3 linked regions of the Rhinolophus ferrumequinum genome follow. The protein of the gene in region 1 binds, or shares a complex with, the protein of each later gene. Links are inferred from orthologs where the notes say so. Each region holds a gene or a part of one and is shown in the gene's direction. Other genes may lie near its edges. The genes, in order: ACTR2, ARPC5 and ARPC5L.

Evidence for each region.
Region 2: ACTR2 (region 1) and ARPC5 share a complex: the UniProt entries of both Homo sapiens proteins name them as parts of the arp2/3 complex. The link is inferred for Rhinolophus ferrumequinum from reciprocal best matches to the Homo sapiens genes ACTR2 and ARPC5.
Region 3: the proteins of ACTR2 (region 1) and ARPC5L are in contact, whole or in part, in a cryo-EM structure (PDB 6YW6), measured with the Homo sapiens proteins. The link is inferred for Rhinolophus ferrumequinum from reciprocal best matches to the Homo sapiens genes ACTR2 and ARPC5L. Residues at the interface, in NP_005713.1 of Homo sapiens: Tyr225, Glu263, Phe266, Gln267, Arg319, Lys322, Gln323, Ser338; in NP_112240.1 of Homo sapiens: Arg11, Arg12, Val13, Asp14, Ile15, Asp16, Glu20.

What each region holds. Positions count from the first base shown.
Region 1 is NC_046296.1:24,869,218-24,876,842, reverse strand, and holds the start of ACTR2 (actin-related protein 2), read left to right. Parts: upstream 1-3,994; 5' UTR 3,995-4,129; coding exon 4,130-4,177; intron 4,178-7,625. UniProt on the Homo sapiens protein: ATP-binding component of the Arp2/3 complex, a multiprotein complex that mediates actin polymerization upon stimulation by nucleation-promoting factor (NPF).
Region 2 is NC_046305.1:15,118,731-15,126,663, reverse strand, and holds the start of ARPC5 (actin-related protein 2/3 complex subunit 5), read left to right. Parts: upstream 1-4,563; 5' UTR 4,564-4,777; coding exon 4,778-4,920; intron 4,921-7,248; coding exon 7,249-7,321; intron 7,322-7,933. UniProt on the Homo sapiens protein: Component of the Arp2/3 complex, a multiprotein complex that mediates actin polymerization upon stimulation by nucleation-promoting factor (NPF).
Region 3 is NC_046295.1:74,632,338-74,640,319, forward strand, and holds the start of ARPC5L (actin-related protein 2/3 complex subunit 5-like protein), read left to right. Parts: upstream 1-4,798; 5' UTR 4,799-4,834; coding exon 4,835-4,983; intron 4,984-7,982. Other genes in the region: RPL35 (60S ribosomal protein L35), read right to left, coding at 576-712, 1,119-1,121. UniProt on the Homo sapiens protein: May function as component of the Arp2/3 complex which is involved in regulation of actin polymerization and together with an activating nucleation-promoting factor (NPF) mediates the formation of branched actin networks.

The sequences.
Region 1 (7,625 bases):
ATTGCTCTTTCTAATGGAGTCAGAAAGTTCTTGTAGAGTTCTTTCATTTCTTTTAAGTCTCAAGTCTCTTCTTCCATCTGTGTAATTTCCAGGTTTCTATCTTCGATGTCACTGATTCTTTCCTCCATCTGGTCAACTATACTACCTAAGCTGGCTATTTCATTCTTAATTTCTTCTATTGAGTTCTTAATCTCCAGAAATTCTGTTTGGTCCTTTTTTAAAATTTCAATATCTTTCATAAAATACTCATGTTGTTCTTTGATTGTGTTTCTGAGTTCATTAAACTACCTTTCTGTGTTTTCTTGCATCTCGTTGAGTTTTTTCAGAACTGCAATCTTGAATTCTCTGTCATTTAAATCACATATTTCCATATCTTTAAGTTCCTTTTCTGGAGACTTTCGACTTTCTTTCTGAGCTGTCTTGTTACCTTGGTTATTCATGACAATTATTGATTTATTATTTCTCTTCCTAGACATGTACAGGAGTGGCTTCTGCAACAGGTTGATAGGACGAGGTCTTTCTTTTGTTTTCCAGTACTAGTTGATAGAATTTTATTTTCTCTCCAACTGCAGCCTTTTTTTCTCTCTCACATGGTAGTGCTATGTTTTCTCTGCACTATTCCAGCTTCTCACACAATGGGGGGATTCCCTGGGAGATGGGCTTCTCCTCTGTTAATAGTTCGCCTGGGTCACAGGGCACAGTGTCCGTGTGGGTATGCGGAGAACTTTTGAAGTTCCAAAGCTCTTCTTGCACCAGATTCAGAGCCCGTATGTTTCAGCAGTTCTGTTTACTCCTGCAGGCATCTGCCCAGATAGGTGCGTTCAGGGGCGGGGTGAGTTGTGAGAGGTGGCCCAGAGAATGGCGGCGAACACCACACAGCCGGTCCTGCTTCCACTGCTCCCTCCCCTTTGCCGGAACTAGTTGGGCTGCGAATCTGTTTCTGCGGTCCACAGTTCTCAGAACAGCAAATATTCTGTTCTTTTTTTTTTTTTTAATTTATGGGGGTGACAACTGTTAGTAAAATTACATAGATTTCAGGTACTATTCTGTTCTTTTGATCTGACATTGCTACTATACCGCTTCTAGCATTGGGCAGGTGGGGGCAGGGTGAACTTTGGAAGGGTAGGGAGGGGGGCGGCTAGTCTTAGTGCCTAAGGCTTCTGTTCTCTGCTCGGCAGTGAGGGCTTAAGCCACCGTTTTCAGCCTTCTTCCCTCAGTCTTTGCTCCGAGGTCTCTGCCGTGAGCATTGGGTTCAGCCATGTTATATGCTGCCCCCTCAGCCCTGTGGGCCATAAGCAGAGCCCTAGCAGTCCGAGTTCTTCCCTCTCCCGCAGCCGCGGCAGTTCCAGGATGCAGCGAGCTTGGAAGACTGAGTTAGGTCTGCGTCCTGTGCCCATCCAGCTCCATCTCCACACTTCTCCCTTTTCTCCTCCCCAGCTCATGAGATTCGCCCACCCTTAGGTGAATTCAGTAGTGGGCCTCTTCGTCCTGCCTGTCTGCTATGCAGGGAGTCCTTTGTGGAGTAATAGTTGTTCGATTAGTTGTAAATTCCAGGGGAGATTTATAGAGGCTCACCTCATGCCGCCATTTTGATGACGTCTCTCATTCCAGACTTAATTTTTTAAAGCCCCCATATTCTCATGTGTAAAATGGCAATATTTGCCTAGCAATATTTTTGTGTGGAATAGTTTACATAAAATCTGAACAGAAGGCTAGAAATGAAGCCCTCCTCAAAAAAAAAAAAAAATTCAATCGCTTAAAATGTGGGATCACATTATTTTGAGGAAAGTGACATGACCAGAATGCACTTGGTCTAGAAGGTCAGAGACAGTCACCAATAGTATTACACCTAAATTTGCATAATCAAAAGTTTTGCTACATTTTCATTACTGTAGTTTGTTGATATTTTCTATCATCTGCGTATATTGCTTTTATAGTCAGAAGAAAACAACAGAAGCCATTTATTAAAAAGTAAAAATTAGTAATGCATTTAATTTCATAAAGAGAGAAAGTAAAAATATATAGAAATGCATGAGTTCAATTTGCTGAGACCAACTAAATGTACTCCCAGGAAAACTGCACAGTGCTAGGCACTGGGGCCACAAAAGTCAGACGTATAATTTATGAACTTAATGCACTGTTCAGCAGGGTGAGGTACCGCAATGAAACTGGTGTAGGGAAGACATATTCCCCTGAGGCCTCCTCTCCTACCCATCCTAACCTTCAAACTTCCAACTATAGCTATGGCAGCTGTACTTTGATCTATTTTATATTTTGGGATCCCATATAAAGTTAAATTTGAAGAAAGCATTTTATGCCTTTATAAAGGTTTGAAAGAACAAAGTTAAAACTGAGAGGCAGCCTAGTATTGTAATACTGGATGGGAGGGGGGTTCTTGATCCAAGTTTTATTCTAGTCATGTACAGCCATTTGGAAAGCACAGTTTTAGTTCTTACCTCTGAAAAACGATGGCATTTTTTTTAGATGAATTTTAATGTCATCTATCCAATAAATATTTGTTGAGTGCAATAAACACAATAATGTTATTCATATATCCATGGTAAAGTAATAGTAAATAAAGGGAGTAAAAAGCATCTTAAGGGTTATCAGCAAAATCTTCAGAGATGTGACAACTGGGTCGTAGAGCATGAGTAGATGTCTCCCCATTGATTAAAATGAAAAAAGATAGGGGCATTAAAGATAGAACTACATGTTTGAAAGTATGAAACATAGTGAGGAATAAAGTGAAGAAATAAAATGGAGTCATGATGGTCAAGCTGCTAAATTACGAGAATCAAGTAATCTGAGGCATGAGGAAATGCTTCTATTCTTGCTTTAACTAGCCTGAGGACTTAAACTTTTAAATTTCTCAGTTGTGTGTCAATGCCTGGATGTACATTACTGCCACAGATAACCATCTGAACAACTCAGGAAAGAATGCTCCATTATCCAGACCACCAGACACGTGGAAGATTATCATCCTAGACCAACCCAGAGGCTAAATATGCATGACTGATTGTTCTCAAGAATGTACTTTTTACTGTAAGAACTCACCTTTTCTTTCTCCTTTGGAACACTCTGGGTATTAACTAGTTAGTTGTGTTTTCAGTTTGCAAACCCTAAGACCTTGAGCAACTTTTTGTCATTTATAGCCAAAGTCTCCTGACTTTTTGCGAGTTTGGTTGACAAAAGTTACCACTGAATGGATGCTTACTCCACACACATAATTTTATCCTCACAACAACCATATTATCCGCAGGCACAGATAAGGGGATGCCCAGATCACAAAACTCTTGAGTGGTAGGGTCAGATTTGAAACGGGGGTTTATTTTAAAGCCAAGGTTCTGGGTTCAAGTAGGTATGTATTCTGAAGAAGTGTAAAGCAACATGGTGCTGAGAGAAGGGGTAGGTGGTGTGTGATGAGGCTGGAAATGTAGGCACCCACTCTTATTTAAGGGCAATTTGAGCCAAGAAGGATTGGGCTGGAATTAGAAGTATCTATGACCGCATGATGTCAAATACGTGTGTGTATCCATTCCAGCTCTGTCAGCTGAAAAGGCCTAGAATCGAGAGCACACAGAGCCATTTTCAATAAGTGGGATTGGCAAGGACCTCCAGGTTTGCTCCCGTTCCGGGCTGCCTTCTTCGCCACATTCCACTGCCATCTCGCGACAGACCCGTTGTCCTGCCTGCGCTTTCTGCAGCCAGGTAAGAGTGTCCTCAACTCCTGCGACGACTCTGGAAAAAAGCTGCAGCACCCACCAGCTCGGCTGCGTTAAACGCCGGAAACCATACGCAGAGAGCATCACCCGAGTAGGCAGCAACCGTGAGGGCGGGGCCGGAGCCGGAGCCGGAGCCGGAGCTGCGAGCCAGGACTTGGAGCTCCTCCGCTTCTTATTTGGGCTCACCGCTGCCAATCTCCGTCTCCTCTCCCTTACCCGCCTGTGTCGCGCAGGCCGTGGGCGGGGCGGGGCCGGGTGGCGACTTCCGGTTGGGGAAGAGAACAGAGCCCAAGGAGGGGCTGAGAAGAGGGAGGAGGAGGAAGAGGAAAAGGCCGGGCGGCGGAGGCTGTAGGCGGCGGCTGTAGGTTGTGCGGCGGCAGCAGCGGCGGCTCTCTTCCGGGCGGACGATGGACAGCCAGGGCAGGAAGGTGGTGGTGTGCGACAACGGCACGGGGGTAAGCGGCGGGCAAGAAGCCGCGGTGGCCATAGGTCGGGGTGGGGATGTGCGGGGGACGCGCGGGCCCTCGGCGCCGGGGGCTGCACCCCTGGGCCTTCGGGCCACCGGGGCCAAGGGGCTCGGTGCAGCCCTTTTCCGCCTCCGCGGGCGTGGGGAGCGAGCGGCAGGGTCCGGCCTGGTCTCCCCCAGCCTGCCATCCCCATCAGCCCTCCGGGTTAGGGCGGCGGGCGAGGCCGGCACTGGATGGGGATCTCGCCCGCTGCTCGGCGGGGACGGGCTCCGCTTTCTTGCTGGGGCAATCTGGCTAAAGGGTCGGAGGGGTAAAAGACTAAGTTTGTATGTTCGAGAAGGGCTCCGTTCCCCAGGATTGCCGGTGTATAAAAAGGGGAAAGACCCAGAGGCCTTCCTCTTCCTGTATAGATACTGAACGGGAGGCAGGAAACGGGTTTAAAGAAAAAAAGGGAAGTGCTGTCAGTGCAAGCCTCAGCCCTTTGGCAGTTTTGAGTGTTTTTTTTTTTTTTTTTTTTTTTTGAAGAAAAGAGAGGCCAGGTCGACTGCTCATCATTTAGTTTTTGTTCTGCATGCCGGGATTTTGGCCCAGGTGCAGCCCCGCGGAGACCAGCATGTTACATTGAATGATCTTGGGACATCTAGGACCCGTCAAGGCCCAAATGTTAATTCTACTGATTGGCCTTGAGGGAAGTTAATCAGTTTTGTTACTTATTTTAGATGAGTTCCATAGTGATCATTTTCTCGTATATTATTACAGTGATACCTAACCGTTTTGTAGTTGCATATTTGTGACTTTTCTTTCCCTTTCATAAATGTGATATATGAATTAAAATAGATTTTACTTGAACTTTTAAAACACTTTGGAAACTGTGTTGTGGGGGAGAGAGCTAATATTCACTGCCATAATACTTCCCCTGATTGAATTTGTTACAGACTTTTACAAGCAATAATTATACTAGTTTATCCCAAATGGACTTGAGTAATGAGTGTTATCATATAATGGGACATCCTTACAAAATGGAGTACTTAAATTAAAAAAAAAAGAGGCCCATTTACTGCTATGGAAACATATCTAAGTTTATTGTTAAGTTTAAAAAATGATCCTATTTATGTGTGTGTTCTTCATATAAACTCTATAAATATGTTTATATGTCCACAAACCTGTATGTGTAAGTTTTGGGGGGATACGTGAGAAATGTGCATAGTGGTAATCTGTGAGACTAGGGATAACGGAGTGGGGGAAGATGAAGACTTCATGACTCTTCCAAACTATTGGAAAAATGGTTTTTGTTTTTTAACAAAACATGTATTGTTAAACTATCTTGAAACTAAAGAAACTATAAACAGTTATTACTTTTACAGTTAAAATTCAATTAAAGGTGCTTTTTAAAAGATATTAGTCTCAAATTGACCTCTAAGTAAATTTAAAGATTTGAAAATTGAATTTAAAACATTTTGTTTTGTGAATATGCCTGATATTCTTTTTAGAAATCTGAGCCAACTATATTTTAATGGATTCCTCCTTTTCGAAGGGTAATGAACCCTATTTTTGTAATGAGTTTTGTGATACTGTTAGAATAGGAATGTTAACCTTAAGCTCATTTTTATGTTATTATTTCATCAACTTAGCTATGTTAGGAAGCTGATTGTATATTATTGGTCTTATTCCAATCTATAATTTAAGAATCTTGTTCCTTAAGACAAAAGATCAGTTGCTATGGAATAAATATGAAAAGTGTATTTAGTTCAAACAAAATTTTATATATTTGGTGTTAATTTCTTTTTTTAAAATTATATTTGGATTTTGTATAGACATGATTGACTTCAAATGAAGAAACACTGATATAATATGGAATGCTGTGATATTTCTGAAAATTTAGAGAATTAGGAACCACTTAGATTCTATATTTTGTTTCATAGTCTTGATTTTATTGAGGTATCTGATTTCATTTAATCATACCTTTACAATATTTAATTGTAAAGGTATGATTACAATTAAATATTAAACAAGATATTCAAATTTAATTTCTAAAAATTTATGGGAATAGTTGTTACCCTAAAGCAGCTTGCCTCTTACACGTTTTAGGTTAAAATTATAAGCAATTTGAGAAGTTGATGATTTTTTTCTTTTAACTCCTCTGACAGGCCTTAAGTTGAAGAGTAGGTGAGTTTTTATGATCACGTGCTAGATGTTGGTCCTGCTCCTCTTCCTCACTAGCCCCCAACTAGACCAGAGTCTCGTTCAGGCAGCCTAGAGGAGGAAAATGCATCCGATTCCAATAATTTATTTGTTTCATCCTCATAACCAGTCAAACCTACGACCTACAATAGAGCCACTGAACATGGCCAGATAGGTGAAAATCTGGAGATCTGCTTAGGTTTAGGTGCCTTTTAAGAGTTTTGCCCAGGCCCCTGGTGTATGTTTTGTCACCAAACTTGGGTGATTTCATCAGCAGTGAGCACCCACTACAGTGAAGACAACTGCCTACTGTGTGACTGGTACAGTTTTTAAAGTCTAGTGATACAACGTAGCTTATAGTGCTAGAATAATTATATTTTCATTTATAATTCATGATTATTGCCTGCTTTATCAAGTTTATGCTAATTTATAAGTTGAATTTAGGAGCACTTGGAACAGAAATAAACCAAAAACAAACTTGGCTTTACCCTGCAAAATGTTTTGGAATAAATAGAATAAGTATTTTGGTGATGTAAGATCAAAATAATCACTATGCAATTAAATTAATGCATCAGTACCTTCAGATAAAATTAATAAAGGAAAAATACATATACAATCCCAAGTGAAGCTTTATAAATCCGTTTATCTTTTTGAGAGGGGAAAGGTACTTTTAGAGCAAATGTAGATGGACGTTTTCTTCATGTTGCTTGAGAGAACATTATACTTACTGTTCATGTTCTCACCAGTTGATGACTCAGTGGGAAGTAAGGGAACCAGTTTAAACCACAGTGCTATGAAGAGGAAACTATATATGGTAAAATCTATTTCTTAAACACAGCCTTATTGCACATCATGAGAGAACCAAGTCACCATGTCTTAAAATGATCGGAGTGGGGGAGGAATTTCAAGGATTAAAATATACCAAAGAGAAAACATTTTCTTTGTATTTTATCACATCATGGTTTAGATTTTTTTGAATACTGACTTCTTTTGCCAGAAAGGAAATGCCAGATTGTCCATTACTTTTATATTATTGAGAAATAGGTTATTTTAATTACATTCTTGTTATTATAGCTATTAATGCTTCACATTTGAAATAATGTGAAATAGGGCAATTATTGCCATTTTGACCGAATGTCTGACACCCTGTAGGAATGTTAGCACCAGATTACTATGGCAGCAAATGTTTCCAATAAACTACTACTTTAGCAGAATAAATAATTTCATTAATAAGTGAGTGATAGCTTTAATTTGA
Region 2 (7,933 bases), on another chromosome or scaffold:
GCAGCAATGAGAAAAGCTGTATGTCTATGGTTATGGAAGTAACTAAAATAACTATAAGAAAATACTTTTTGCAACTTCTTGCCAATAAATTGGCACTCTAGATGTAATGCATGATTTACTATGAAAATATGAATTCTGAAATTGGCTCAAAAAGAGAAAGAAAACCAAACAAGTCAATAACTGCAGATGATAAAGAACATCAAAACGCTACCTCTAAAAATATAAGCCCAGATAATTCTGTAAGCATATTCTATAACTTTCAAAAAAAATAGCATGACAATTTTCTATTATTCAAACTATTCCAGAGCATAGGGGGAAAAAAGGTAGAAATCCTCTCAATTCATCTTACAAAGCCAGACTAATCTCAATATCAAAACCAGATAAAGATAGCACAAAGAAATAAAACTATGAACCAATCTTACTTATACATATAGATTCTGAAATGTAAACAAAATATAAACTAATCAAATCTAGCAAGCAATTAAAATAGTAACCAAATAGAGTTTATTCTAGAAATGTGGGAATGGTTCAGTGCATAAAAATATATAAATATAATTCATTACATTCATAAATTAAAAGATGAAAAAATGACATGATTTTTATCATTCGATCCCCCAAAAAAGCATTTGGTAATTTCAGCCATTATGTCGAAAGATCATAAAGCAATAGAAATATAAACTGGTAAATACCAAAAACATTTCCACTGAAAGAAAAACAAAGAAGAGAAGCCTACTATCACCCAATTTCTCAACATCGTTTCTGAGAGACTAACTCATGCAATAAGTTAAGGAAAAAAAATAATAAAAGTGATATAACTATTGGAAAAGATGTAAATTATCACTATCTCAAAAATTATGATTATATATTGTGACAAGAAATGTAACCTTAAAACAACTGTTAGCATTAATAACAGACCCGAGTAATGGGAAAGAACATGGAATAAATAAATTTTTAAATCCATAGCTTCCCTTTATATTATCATAAGCATGTAAAAACAGGAAATAGAAATATAGTCCCATTCACAAAAATGTTTAACAAACAAGGCTTATTCTTTCATTTAGCACTAAACTTTTTACCGGAGACAAGCGTACAGATTTAAATCTTTTAAATCCTTGAAGTACTAATATATAAATAAATAAAAGTTCTCATTGTAAAATAGTTCATCCTATCCACTCTACCTCAGTGTGTAATCATAAAGTTATGTGAAGCTGAAATTAATCACCGATTAAAAACTTGAAGTTTTGAAGGTTGGTGGTTTTAACACAGAACCAGTTCATTCACATGTTAAGTCTATATATAGTCAATGGGTAACATGCCAAAAAGTCTTTTTACATTGTAGTAATTATGTTGCTAGAGAACAGTGAAATTAAATCATTACCAGAACTGAAATTTAGTTATTTTATATTTATAACACATGTTTGACATATTTGATTAACACTGAGTTCACTTCCATTTCAACTAATAATCCCGCCATGCTGCAGGATTCAAGGTCTTGGTTTGTTAAGTATCTAATGGCAAGTCTGGAGAAAAAAGCACATTGTAGGTAGAGTACTTGGTTTAAAATATCTGCAAAAACTTATTATAAGACAGTTTTATCAAAATCGTTTCTAACTAAAGAGATCTTTTGCTCTTTCCATCATCACAAAAATAAGGAGCTATATACTATCATGCAGCATTAATCTCGAGAAAAGTCAGTGTTAACTTCGGTATTGAACCAAACCAGGTTAGTTGCAAAACAAATCAGATGTCTTAAAACCCTATGGAACCTTTATTTCAGGGATAAGCACTCCTTTGGAAAATTAAAATAGGGAAAATAATATTACCTAAAATGAAAGAAGTGCCATGACTAACATTAGAAATTTGTAATATTCATATGCAAGAAATTGAAATGTGTATCTTCTAATTAAATGATAATTAAGGACAGCGTTCTTCACACACACACACAAATTTCCCTACCGCTTTAAAGAGGTAATTAATGTGTCCATTAAAAAATACTCAATCTCTAAATATAATTCCAAAATTAATTTGTTGGATTATTGCTTCATTGGATCGAAAAGTGTTGAGTGCCTACTATGTACAAGGTACTTATCATTGTGAGATAATAAAAAAATACTGCATTGGAAAAGGATATTTCTGACATTATTATATCTCAAATGTAATATGCATTATGTGGCTGAAACTTAATTATGTTTAACACATTCAACACACAGAGCAAAATTATGAGCAATTAAAAACAATTAAACCTTTAAGCAATTCGATTTTTTAAATTCCCCTCTCTGTTCCCTTAAGTTGATTTCTACTCTGGGTTTCTTTCCCAGTTCTAAAACCAGAGAACAAAGAAATTTCCTAAATAAGACCTTATACAAAAGAATAGAAATGGTAAGAGAACGGATGTATTAGCTCATGAATCCTTGTTTCCATTTGCTCTCAGTAGTGCTTCTAATAGTCAATTTTCTCTTCTAAAGTTAGCAAAATATTGAAACTGAGAAAAGAATATTAGAGCAAATCTTTATTCTAAGTTATATAATGCTATTCACCACAGTAATGATCTGATACTTTGGTATACGACTTTTTAAAATAAAGGTTATCAACAGGTAGAAATTTTTCCTTTGCTATTTTAAGACAGTCCTTGAGGAAGTTTTTACCAGCGTGTTTGTTCATAACTTGAATGTTAATTTAAAGAAATGTCACTTCATCACCTCAATGATATATGTTCCAGAAGGGTGATTTAATTGGGAAAAGAAAATGCCATATTGCTTCTTCCTTCCAAGAAAAAAACATGCAGTCTATTCCTGAGGGTTCTCTCTATAGATGACAGATTAAAGAGATAGAGATATATATGTATACCTATATACACATATTGATATAGATACATAAGTATGCACATGTATCTAATGAAGATTTGATTTTGAGATCTTTCTTCCTCTTTTTACTGGTTCATTATTCTCAGTGTGATTCTCAAACTATAATGGCTTTCACATGTTACTCATTCACCCAGGAATAATTAAGTACCCCAGTGCACTGAGTACCTTCTGCATGCTTAGCTTTATGTCAGACCTAAAGGAAGATACAAAAGAAATATAAGACAGCCTCCGCCCTCCAGAATCTTTCCATCTCTTCAGGGGCAAGATAAAACACAATGTATCATTAAGTAATTTATAAGGCTAGTTTTCAAACCAATGGTACAGGTAACACACATTTCACATTTATGTACAATTTTATAGCTCCAAAACGCTTTCCTGTACTTAAATCTCAGAATGATCTTGTGAAGTACACATTATTAGCCCCCTTTAGCAGTGGAGAACCTGAGATTCAGAATTTTAAGTGGTATGTCTCAATCAAGTAGATTGAGCGAAAGACTCAAGACTCGAGCCAGGATTTACTGATTCTAAACCCAGTGCTCTTTTCAATAGAGCACAGGAAACCAATGAGTCGAGTACTTAACAGGGCAACAGCCGGCCTTCTGCTAGAGGTGGAATTAAACTAGACCTGATAGGATGTCGGGGAAAACAAAGCCATCTGAGCAGTGTCCATCCAAACGTCCAAATTAATTTTAATCTACACACATTTGTGCTTCAGTGTTGCACACTCAGCACAGCTACCATTTACCTCCTCAGTAAGAGCTTTGCTCTCAGAAACGGGCATGTCAAATATAATAAAAAGCTGGCCTAAAGGGATCACATAAAACCTTAAATCACAAACGTCTTCAGTCTTGAACGTCTACCAGTTGTTCCACATTTTATTTCCCCTCAGCACCGGAGAACGTAGCTCGCCCCTACCCTTGTCTAGCCTGCCCGCTCCGCACAACCACGTATTTTAAGCTGTCAGTGACGGACCCTACCACAAATTCCACAGGTTCACCCAGTGTTGCCACCCGACCCCAGCCCCTGCCACGCACCTCCCCCTCCCTCCCAATGGATACGATACCTAGTTCAGGTTCTGCAGGTGCCTTCGCGGTGCTGTCACACAGCACTGACAGAAGATACGACCTTTCGACTCTGTCCTTGGGGACCTCCCGCTGGCCGCACAGCGTAGTTCCAACCCCGGGAAAGGGGCTCCCGGCGCAGGAACGCAGCCACGAGCAGCGCCCGGACCGAAGCGATGTCTCTGAGAACTAGAACGATGCTGGGCGCCCGGGCGTGCATCACTCCGCCCTACTACTGCCAACGGCAGGGGACTTGGTCCGACAGCCAGTCCATCCCACCTCACAGGCAAGTCCAGGACGGCCGGACCCTACGCAAGACCCGGATGACAGGTCGTTGGCGGCAGCAAAAGCCAAGGCCACCCGCCCCCAGTGCCCATCGCCGCGAACAGAAGAAGAACCCCTAGACTGGACCGCAGAGAAGCGTTCCTATGGAAACCCCCTAGGGATCACGTGAGGCACGCGGATGACCAATCGCCTATTACCGCTTCCCGCGGCACCGCTTTCTGCCCTCCCTCATGCTCCGCCCCCTCCGCCCCCGCCTCCTCAGCTCCGCCCCGCCCCTTTCCTGCGGAAAGTCTGCGCCTGCGCACTGAATCTAGCGCGCTCCCTGCTTTGCGCGCGCTCCCGGGAGGAGGGCAAGGACCGCGTAGGAGGCTTCAGCTGAGTGTGAACCTGAGGAGGAAGAAGCGCCGCCAGCGCGCAGGCCCAGAACCTCCCGAGCCCGGGCTGCCGGCGACGCCCCAGAGCGGAAGAGGGAAGTGAAGGCACCAGGCTGCGGGTTCCTGCAGAACTGGGCTTGCCGAGGGACAGGCAGCACCAAGAGGAGGCCTTTGCCACCGCTCCGGATCCGGGATGTCGAAGAATACGGTGTCGTCGGCCCGGTTCCGGAAGGTGGACGTGGACGAGTACGACGAGAACAAGTTCGTGGATGAGGAAGACGGGGGCGACGGACAGGCCGGGCCCGACGAGGGCGAGGTGGACTCCTGCCTGCGGCAATATCCTTGCGTTCGCCGGCCTCCCCAGCCCCCCGGGCCCTTCTGGTCCCCGCGCCGGCAGGGTCTGAGGATGACGGGCCCCTCCCGGGCCGCGGGCGCGGAGCTGCTCCTGACGGCCCCTGTCTCTTTGGGGTCCCCCACCCCGAGAGGGCAGGGGCCTCTCCCATATCTCACCGGGTCGCCTGGAGACCCCAGGGGTCCGCCCCCCGAAACTTGCCCTGCGGGGGCGCCTTCCACGCCCGGATTCCTCAGGTTGCGCCTGGAGTTGCCGCGTCCGGGAACGGGCTCTGCCGACCGCGCCCTCGAGGCGCTGGGAAGGCTTCGGGGCTGATCAGGACGGTTGCTGGGTGCTGAAGTTTTCCTCCCAGAACGCTATTTACTGGGGTCACAGTAGCTCCAGAAGTTTCTGACGGGGGGGGAATGGGCGTCTTTCTCTAGTGACTGTTTTTGTTGCGGTGGTGGTTTTGTTTTGGTAGAATTAGGATAGTTTATTCCTTTCTGGGAGACGGGGTAGTTTGCAGAATGAGGGCCTCAGTCCTTTGAGCCTGGGGGCCTTTTTTTTTTTAAGAAAAAAGAATTTTGCAAAATACAAGTTGCACAGAATTTGCTAACCGGGGGAAAGGGAGTAAGTACAAAATTACCAAAACTCCCAAGAAAGGAAGAAGCTTGGAGGCTTTAACCTGCTGAGCGATGGACCCTGGAAAGAAGCAGGGAATGCATATGGAGAATCCCTGGAAATATATCAAATAAATCCCAATGAATAAAATAGAAGACGAGCCAATTGTACAAAGCAGCATCATTTTTATAATCCTGAAATCGTTTCCATTTTAGTTAAAATGTGGTTGTCAGTTCCTAGTTTTTGGTTTTGCATATTTAAATATTCGTAACATCTGCATGAGATCTTTTTTTTTAGAAAAATGTAAATGTTGCAATAACCAAAGCTGAAGTTTTCGAGATTGTCAATTACTGAATTCACTCATTTCTAATTATTCTTGGGTGGATTCATAAGGAAGGCTTTATAGACGCTTCGTGGCTGTCCTGTGAAATTATGATGGGGAAATAGATGAGTGAAAATATTTGGTAGCAACTATATCTGGTCTTAAAGGCATCTAAAATACAACATTAAACATTTATCAACATACAGATATTTATTTATTTTCCACAACTTTCACAATCAGCGGTTGCTATTTTTCATTATTTAAATACTTAACGTGTTTTGGGCCTTAAAAATGAGCCAGTCTACAAAAGGCATGCTTCTCTAGAAGTCCATTACGCCTTGAAAATGACAGCTTACCACCAACCATGGGGTTTTTTGTCAGACCTTTTTCTTCAGAAAATAAGTGGTGAACATTGTGCTGTCTAAAAACATTCTTTGTGGTGGATAAATGATGTTTTGTGAAACTAACATTTTAGCTGGTATGAGAGGACTCTTAAATGGTTCTGCTGTATCCATGTAGTAGGTCTGTTTATAAAGATACTGTCTCTTCTACTCTTGTTACAACCAGAAGAGACAAATGCTGGTTAGGCACTACAGATGGAGGAACAAGTAAGCTCTGTGTGGTTTTCCTTTTAGGGGAATAACTGTACATTCTGACAGTCTGATTGGCTTTCTGTGTTTCATACATGCTAACTCACTAGTGCTTTCAAAGAGAGACTAAATGTAATAGGTATGGCCTGACACAGTCTGAATAACCTTTATGAAATATGAAAGGAAAGATCTAAAACAGAAAAGTTAAGCTGCCTCCTAAGGGTCACTGAATTATGATACCTTCTGTAGTGCCTCTTTTCATCAATATTGAGAGATTGCTAATGTATATCATTCAGATTGCTAAATTAATAATACACCAGCATTTTCCATCAAGATTTCAATTAATATAGAATATAATTCTAGTAAGTTTGGTCTTTATTTTTCCAGTTAGAATCACATAAAAACATTTTGGTTGAGGGTAGGCAGTTTCGTTTTGGGGCCTAATTATTCTGATACATATTGTAGAGATTTTTTTAACTTATCACTGGATAGTGTTTCCATATGTGTCTCATTGGAAAAGGAGAGGTTCTCAAGGCATTCGTTTGACAATTAGAACCAAGGATGGAACAGCCTTTGCTTTACTAAAAGAACTCTCACGTGATTTTTTTGTAGTTTTCAGTACTTTACCTTTGATTGACATCCTTGAAACCAACATGTTGAATTTTCCAATAGTGAACATAGTGACCATAGTCATTTTTCCTTCTCTGCATGAAGTCAAGTCTTAAGAACCAGTGGTTCCTGGTAGTGAGCATGCTTTCCTGTGGGCTGCCCTTTGCTGCTATGTCCTTAACCTCCACCACAGGAAACATGACAGCTGCCCTGCAGGCTGCTCTGAAGAACCCCCCGATGAACACGAAGAGTCAGGCGGTAAAGGTGAGTCCCACATCACGGTGATCTCCGATGGCATCGGAGCATTCTTACCCAAATCCTCCGAAGTGTCGCAAAATCAAGAAATATTTTAACTAGTCACGATCTTTGCCCTGGAAGAGTTAATGAAGTAGTTTGATAGGTACACATTTACAGATGAATAAAGAACAGGCAAACACTGGGTTTCGTATGCAACACATCCAGTTCAAATGACAGATCATTTCTGTGTGTTTTTAGGGGAGGCTGCAGGTTGAATTTGAGCAAAGATTTGAAGAATAAGTAAAACTTTTACAAAATGAACAGATTCTACTTCTTTTCTTGTTAAAGATCTGTGAATGTTATACAAGTATTAAGTATTTATTATAGAAAACTCGGAGAGGAGAGGTGGGGGATGAAAAACGGTAACCGTCCATAACCCCACCTCCTCAAGATTGTAATTACTACTTTTTGGTGTTGCTGTTTGCTGATACAGTTTTTCTATGAGTGGTTTTTTTGTTTTTAAATAAAAATGAAATTTTATAACCTGCTTTTTCAGTTGGATAGCCATGGACATGTACATCTTTCCTTGGCAATAATTTTATTTCTGTAACATCTTTTTTAATGGCTACATATAGATAA
Region 3 (7,982 bases), on another chromosome or scaffold:
AAGAGGAGGCTCACTCGGCAGACAGCTGGTAAACCTGGTCTTGAGGCTTCAGCATGAATCTTGCTTAAATGTTCCCAAGCTCCTCCAATCCCCTCCCACCACCGTAGGAAGTGGGGGCCCATTTTATAGAAGAGAAAAAAAAACTGGGTGTTGAGCCAACATGCCATAGGGTAGGATGTGGCAGAAATAGAATTTGTGCCCAGGTCAACTGACTCCATTTACCCAACGAGGGAAAAAATAATCAAATGCTGAGGGGAGGTAAAGAAAAAGTTCCAGTTAGGCTTTTGATGGCAGGATTAAAATGAGTCTTCAGGGACACCCAGTTTTTCCTCCAGCCAGAGAAGACAGACAAGGGCATTCAGGGCAAAAGGACCACACGGTCAAAGGCAGAGGGTCTCCCGCACGGCTAGGCGTGAGCAGGTGATCCCGGAAAAGCTGGTTAGAAGGGCATAACATTCCAAACCACAGATCCATTGAACGAGCACTTAAACGGACACCTCCCTAAGACAACCTCAAATACCCTGATATACACTTATTCCATCCCCCGCCCAGAGGGGCCGCGGCCCGTCACTTACATCTTGGAGAGCTTGGAAGCTGCGCCACCAGTCACTTTGGCGACGCGTAGCTGCGACAGTTCCACCTTCAGGTCGTCCAGCTGTTTCAGCAGCTCCTCCTTCTTCTTTCCGCGAAGGTCTCGAGCCTTAATCTTGGCCTGTGTACCAAGAAAGGGTCTAGATTAAACGCCCGGCGGCGCCGCCTACTCCTCCGGCGCTCATCGAGGCCTCCCCCACTGGCCACCCTCTCCCCGACCTGCGTCACGGTCAGCCCCAGAGGGGCGCGCGCCTCGCCCTGAGCATCCCCACCCCAAGCTTGCTACGAGGCCGGGACGCTATCCCCATTCCGCAGACTGTAAGACCGAGGCCGCGGCAGCGCGCGCGCGCACCTTTCCTAGTCGAAGCCGGTAGGAGGAAAAGACCGGTTTGAGTGGCGCTGGGCCACTCCGCACGGCGCTCCACAGGCCCAACTGGCAGATGGGACCTCAGCGTTCACCCTGCGCCCTCCACCCCAGCTCCCGAACCCTTCAGTGCACGGATGGCACCCGATTCCCCAGCCCTCACCATCGCTGCACAAACCACCAGAGCCGCCGCTCGCTCGCAGAGAAAGAGGAAGGGGGGGGCTGACCTCTGCAACTACTACCGGGTGAGGGCGGGCGCGGCCAATGGCGTCGCAGAGAGGGAGCCCCGGCTCCGCCCCTTCCGGCCCCCGCCAACGCCGCGAGGAACACCTTGGTACCGCCAGCCCAATCCCTCTGTAGTCCCTGGTTCTTCCAAAGACCCCGGAGGTTATTTGAGTCCCACGGCTTGAGCGGAGCAGTTGAGGAAACCACGGCCTGCCCGGGATGAGAGGCAGTTTAGCAGAGATGGCATAGTGAGGATTCAAATTCGTCCACTCAGTCGTTTATTTATTCATTGACTCATTTATTTATTGGGTAAATCTTTGCAGGTCGCCCAGTTCGTGCTGCTCTGAGCGTGGCACCTGTGTTCAGGGAGTGGAGGAGATTAGGTTTGAGGGTTTTCAAAAATGAATTAACACGGCCCCAGCCTCAGGAATTTAAAGTCCGATGTGGGCGGGGTCAGACAGCTATAATCCAACTCCATAAATGTTTTAGTGGAGGCAGCCATGTGGCCGGGGAGCGAGCATTCATAAGCCTTATTTAGTGAAACTGACCCGTTTTCAGATTCTTGCTCTGTTGCCTGGTGTTAGCTAAGACTTGGTAAATACCTTCCCCTCTTTGAGTCTCAGTTTTCTCATCTGTGAAATGAGATATTTATGAGGATTTGGATTCTATCACCTAGAAAATTCTTATCACAAGACCTGATGCGTAACAATCGCTCAAAATACCGGTATTAATGTTCCCAGTGAAATGAACACTTGAGTCGGGCCCTGAAAGTTAAAGGGGAATTCACAAAGCAAGGAGGGTGCTCAGGCTGACACAGCAGTTTTATTGTTGTCCCAACCAGCAATCAGTGCGTCAGTGTCACTCCATTGCCATTAAAAACATACCAACACCTCTTTGAGCTCTAGTTAATGCCAGATTGTCCCCTAGTTGCTATCAGGTGTCACTTCCAGGGAGCCTTCTCCCATCCCCTCCTGGAGTTAATGATCTTTAGCCTTGGAATAAATTGGGACACAACCTGTCTTGTGTCCCAAGCTTTATGTGCAATCCTCTCTTCAGCCCCAGAGTTCAAATGTTTATGTATTATCTCCACAGCCAGCCTGGAACTTCTCTGGGGGCAAGAACCATGGTGGACACCTGGTTTTCCTAGTCTCCAGGACCTGCATGTGGATGCTTGTTGGATGAACGAATGAATGAGCCTTACCCCAGACCACAATGAGAGACTTTTAGGAAGTGGAGGGATATGGGAAGGAGAGGGCAGACAGAGGGCAATGTGGTCATGGATTAGTTTTAAATGGAAATTGAATAGTGCACAGGGTCTTTGCTGTCACATTTCCCAAATGCTTATAGTTCTATTAGAGATACCGTGTTTCCCCGAAAATAAGACCTACCCCGAAAATAAGCCCCAGTTAAGATCTCAGCCAGACACATTTAGTTCGTTATGATAATATTCCAAAAGATGACATGACTGTATTTGAATAAATGTAGATTGTTGTACATGAAAAAGTAAGAAATCCCCTGAAAATACGCCCTAATGGAGCAAAAATTAATATAAGGCCCGGTCCTATTTTTGGGGAAACATGGTATACAGTTGTATACATCTTTTCTGGATTTGAAGGCATCTGTGACTCCCGTTCCTCTTACATGCCACATCTGAGCCAGCACCTAATTCTGTAGCCTCTGCCTTCAAAACATACCTGATCTCTTCCCACCACTCTTATTGGCACCTGCCTGGCCTGAGCTACTACCATTGCCTGTCACCTAGACCATTGGTGTCCTCTTAAATGGCCTCTCTACTTTGGCTCTTGCTCCCATGTGTTCTCAATACAGTTGCTGGAGGAACCCTTTTCAAAGTTAAGTAAGATCACATCACTGCTCTACCCAAAATTTCCAGGGCTGTCCCATGTGAGTGAAGATCACATCCTGTCCTCAGCCTACAAAGCCCTATAGAATCCCCTCCACTTCCATGTTCTCTCTCTCTCTTCTGATCCAGTATGGCCTTGCTGTTTCTGGCATACACCAAGCCTGCTGAGCCTGAGCCTTTGCCCGGCTCCCACCTTCACTTCCTTCAGGTCCCTGATCAGTGTCACCTCCTCAGGGGCACTTCTCTTGACCACTTTAAGGTACTCACTCCCAGGCCCTGCATGTTTGGTTTTTTCCCCCTCAGCACAGTCATCCTGACATAATAGAGGTTTTTAAAATTCTGCCTTCCTGACTGGAATGGAGGTCCATAGTCATAAGCACGTACATTATTTCATTCACCAGTTTATTTGGAGGCTATTTCCTTACTTGTAAAATGGTCATGTCTGGTGTAAAGTTCCCTCTGACCAGGATGTTCTGGGGACACGAATTTCTGTCTGGTGGCCTGCCTGGGTCACAAAGATTTCTTCCAACATATGGAACTGAAAGGCAGATGGGCTTTGCCTGTTTCCAGGACCCCTGGGACTTTTATTCAGCACCTTTTTCCACACTGTAGGAGTATCTTCAGCATCCAAGATACCATATGTACTATAGTCTGGTGTAGTTTTCGATCTGCAGACACAGTTCAATGAGAAATATTCAAATCAATAAAAACAAGTCACATTTCATTAACTACTGGCCTTTATTAAAAAGAGTACTATTACATGAAAGCAAGGACCCAGTTTAGTCTAAGGCTAAGGCCCATTAATGGAACCCTTCAAGTAACAGTCCAAGCATCTAATCCTAGCACCAGAGGCGTCTTTGACTCTGCCCTACCCCCTCCCATCCCCATCTCAGACTCTGGGCTTCCTACCAGGATATGCTCCCCAGCCAGACACGACTTCTTAGCTCCCAGGACCTCGCCCTTCTTGCCAGGATGGCGGCCACAGGATCACCTTCATTTCTGCACCCCCACACGCAGTGCCACCGCACCCTGAAGTCCAAAGGTCTTCATTATCTTGTCAGCACCCTCAATACACTTTGAACGTCCTTAAAGTCTCCTAGTCCATCAACAATAGGGTCACTGTGCACAAGGCAGAGGCCGCCTCCTCTGAGCTCAGTGTGGTGGTGTTCACGGCTCCTAAAATCTGAGACTTAGGATCCTCTACCTCCGTCACTCCCCGGGGCATAAGAACTACTACTAATCACTCAGAACCCAGCTCGAAGATTTCTTCCCCAAGAAGCCTGCCCGGAATTGACATGCCAGAGCCCAGCTCCTTCTCCTGCGGGCCCCGTGCCCTCTCAGTCTGGGGCAGTGATGACCCCAGAGTTCGCGGCTGTGCACACGCCGGTCCCTCCAGGGACAGGGGCTCCTCGAATGCAGGAGGGAGGCCGAAGAACGAGCGCAGTAATTGCGTCCACGAGGCCCGGCCTGCATGCGGAGAGTGCGCCAGCTCTTCAGACGAGAAGACTGAGGCGCCACGAAGATGGGACACTGGCGTGGGGGGGTCGGGGCGACTACCACGCGGATAATCGCGCGTTCCCACCTGCTACCCTGCCAGTCTCCGCCCCTGCATCCCACCTATACTTCCGGTTCCGGCGTGGGCCGGAAGTGGGCGGGCAGCGGCTGCGCGCGGAGGAGGTGGAGGAGGAGCCGGGCGGCTGCTTCCCGCCCCCGAGAGCGAGCCGGTTCGGAGCGGAGTGGAGCGGAGGTCGGGTCCGGAGCAGAGCCGGCTGAGCGGGCGCTGAGCCCCCGCCATGGCCCGGAACACGTTGTCCTCGCGATTCCGTCGGGTGGACATTGACGAGTTTGACGAGAACAAATTCGTGGACGAGCAGGAAGAGGCGGCGGCGGCGGCGGGCGAGCCAGGCCCGGACCCTAGCGAGGTGGACGGGCTCCTGCGGCAATATCCTTCCCAAGCGGGGCGCTCTGGGCTCCCCTTTGGCCCGGCCTTCTCACTTCCCTCACCCGGCCCTGGCCCCTCAGGCCGGCTCCCCACTCGTCTTACCCGCGACCCCTCTGGTGGGTCTCCCAACTCCCTTCCAATCCGGCTCCCGTCGGGCCAGGCTGCCTCAGTCTGAATACTCCCCACTTCCCTCTGATCCGGTCTCCCCACTCCTCTTGTCCCTGGCCCCGGCTCCCGGAGCCTCCCTCAGCAGCGCAGCCCCACGCGGTCCCTAGACTCTGGTTGACCGGCTCTCTCGGCGGCCCCAGTAGTATGCCGGACGTGTCTCCGGCCCTAACAGGCCGCTCTCTTCTCTGTGAGGCCTCTCGTTCCTTCCCTTTGCCTCCTCATCCCTTCAGGCTGTCCTTTGGACAGCCCCATCTCTCCATCCCTCCCTTGCAGGAAATAGGGTTATACTAGGGCTTGACCGGTGGGAGGGACCGAGGTGAGCCACCGCTGAGTAATTGAGCGGCCAGGGCGGCTCCTGGGCACACTTCTTGGCCCGATTGCAGCACCACACTAAAATAGGTGGGTGGATGGCTGCGGGGAAGAAAGGACACAAGAGGGAGCGAAGGCTAAAGTCTTAGTTCAGACCTGAGGGCTGGGATTGCGCACCTTCCACCCCAGAATCAGTCTGACCCTTCAGCTTAATGCCACTCTTTCTCGCGTATTGTTTCCTACGAACACCTTGGGCTTTGGACCTTGATGGGCTTAGCGACTTTCAACAAGTGTATTTTGCCTCCCTGCCCTCAATAGCCTTCTTGTGCAGGAAGCAGTGGTAAAAAGAAAAACTAGTAGTTTAGAGCTAAGAAAAACCAGAGAGCAAGAAGTGAAATGTAAAAGTAGATCCCCACAACTGGAAATAACTATTTTCGTGGCCACTGCAAACAAGCATTTAGAAAACAAGATTAAAAATAGAGGTGGTTGTCACAGCCTGCTTGGTCCCTTAGCAGTTTGAACACAGGAAACTGACTTATTCTCACAGGAAGGATTTTTCTTTATTTAAATGGTGTTACAGGAAGTGCCTGCCCCTCCTCCACACTTGCCCAGGGTAGGGTTGGAAGCTCATGCTGTATATAAATCAGGTTCTGAGTGTTTAATCAGTTGACTCAGCTTGGGAAGTCAGGCCCATAGACTGCCTTTGGGAGGAGTCCTCAGTGTTCCTCCAATGTGCCTTTAAAACAAAAACCTTCAGACTTTGTTTGGACAGGAGTGTGTTTTCCAAGGTGTGTTTCCTGCCCCATCATGGTCACCTTGCTTACCCCATTGGCGAAATGGAGGCATGAAAATGGCCCCAATGAGGGAAGGCTGATTGTGCATCTGGAGTAGGACCTCACTCTTGGGCATGTGGTGCCAAAAGGGCTCCAGGGTCAGGCCTATGGCCCAGAACCCTCCACAGATGGGAGAACAAGGTCTGGTTATCTGTTGTGTTGGTCCTGGTGCTGCAGGCATTTGTTGAAGGTCGTCTCTCATATGCCGGTGACTAGTGGTAGGTTCCTTGTGACTGCTTGGAGGCTTGGCTTAGCACCGCCAGGAGATAGCAGTGTCTTCACTAATGGCAGTATCAGAAACCTTGTTGCCATGGAGAGGGTACCCCCTGGGATTGGGGAAAGGGAGGTTCGTAGATGAGAACTGAAATCCTAGCAAACGTGGGACCTAGGGAGGGGGGAGGAAGGAACTAATATTTAGAGTCCTTACCATGTGCCAGATATTGGACTTATATTAGTTGATTGAATTTAAATTGTAGAACAGACTTCTAGGAGTTTTAGGACAGAGGTGAGGGGAGAAGGGCTAGGGGTTGGTTGATTGAGTGGGAGAATGTAGGGAGGAGACCTGCCCTAGTACTGCATATGAAGCGAGTCATGGTGAGATAACACATGAAGTAAAAAGAACATGGGCTGTGTACCCACACATACACCCACCTCCATCATACGATAGCTGTGTGACCTTGAACAGGTCACATATCCTCTCTGAAGCTTAGCATCCTCTGTTAAAAGCAGGAGAAATGCTGGCCTTAGGTTCCATGGGACCACTGCTGGACAACATTCCAGAAGGCTTCGGCCCAGTGCTAGGCACACAGCAGGTGTCCTGGACGTGCAGCTTGGGTCTGTGGGTGGAGTGCAGCAGGGGACTGTAAAAAGAGCTTGGCTTTGGAGTCAGGCATACTTGGGTTTGAAAGGCCAGCTGGACAGCTAGTTTTGTGACCTTGGGCAGGTCAGTTCCCTTCTCTGAGCCTCAAATTCATTGCCTTTAAAATGAGAATAATGATTCTTGTCGCAGAGTCGTTAGCTGTAATGAGATGACATGTGAAAGCACTTGGCACACAATCTGAGACCTTGTAGGGATTTTAAAGTAGTAGTAGTTCCTTTTCTTCCTCGCTGAAGCACCTTCGGTCCTCTGGGGCAGAGATCTGTTCAGAGCAGTGGTTTTGAGTGCTTTTGCACTCTCTCCTCCCCCTGAGGAAATGTGGCAATATTGGGAGATGTTTTGATTGTCACATCTTGGGAGGTGCTACTGAGATCTAGTGGGTAGAGGCCAGGGATGCTGCCAAATATTGTACGATGCATAGGACAGACCCCACATCCGTCATCTGGTCTAAAACGTCAGTAGTGTCGCGGTTGAGAAACCCTGATCTAGAGGAGACTATGGTTGGACACGGCTCCCTAGCCTGCACAGCCGGATCTCTGGAAGGGCCTGAGGCCAGCTTGGTAAATGGTGTGCCCTCCCTGCTCCCCAAATCTCCCTAGCTGCTGTAGGCCCTCTACCCATCCACACCTACAGTGACTGCTTGTAGACTGGCACTTCTGAGGTAACTGACTCTGCCCCCATGGACTAGTTACCCTCCCTTTCCCCATCCATCGTCTGGGTGACTGTTTGCCAGCTTTGCTGCTGGATAGTGAAGAGCACCAGCCTACATTTCCTTTTAAGCCTCTGGGACTCTGCTTACTGCTCTGGGACAC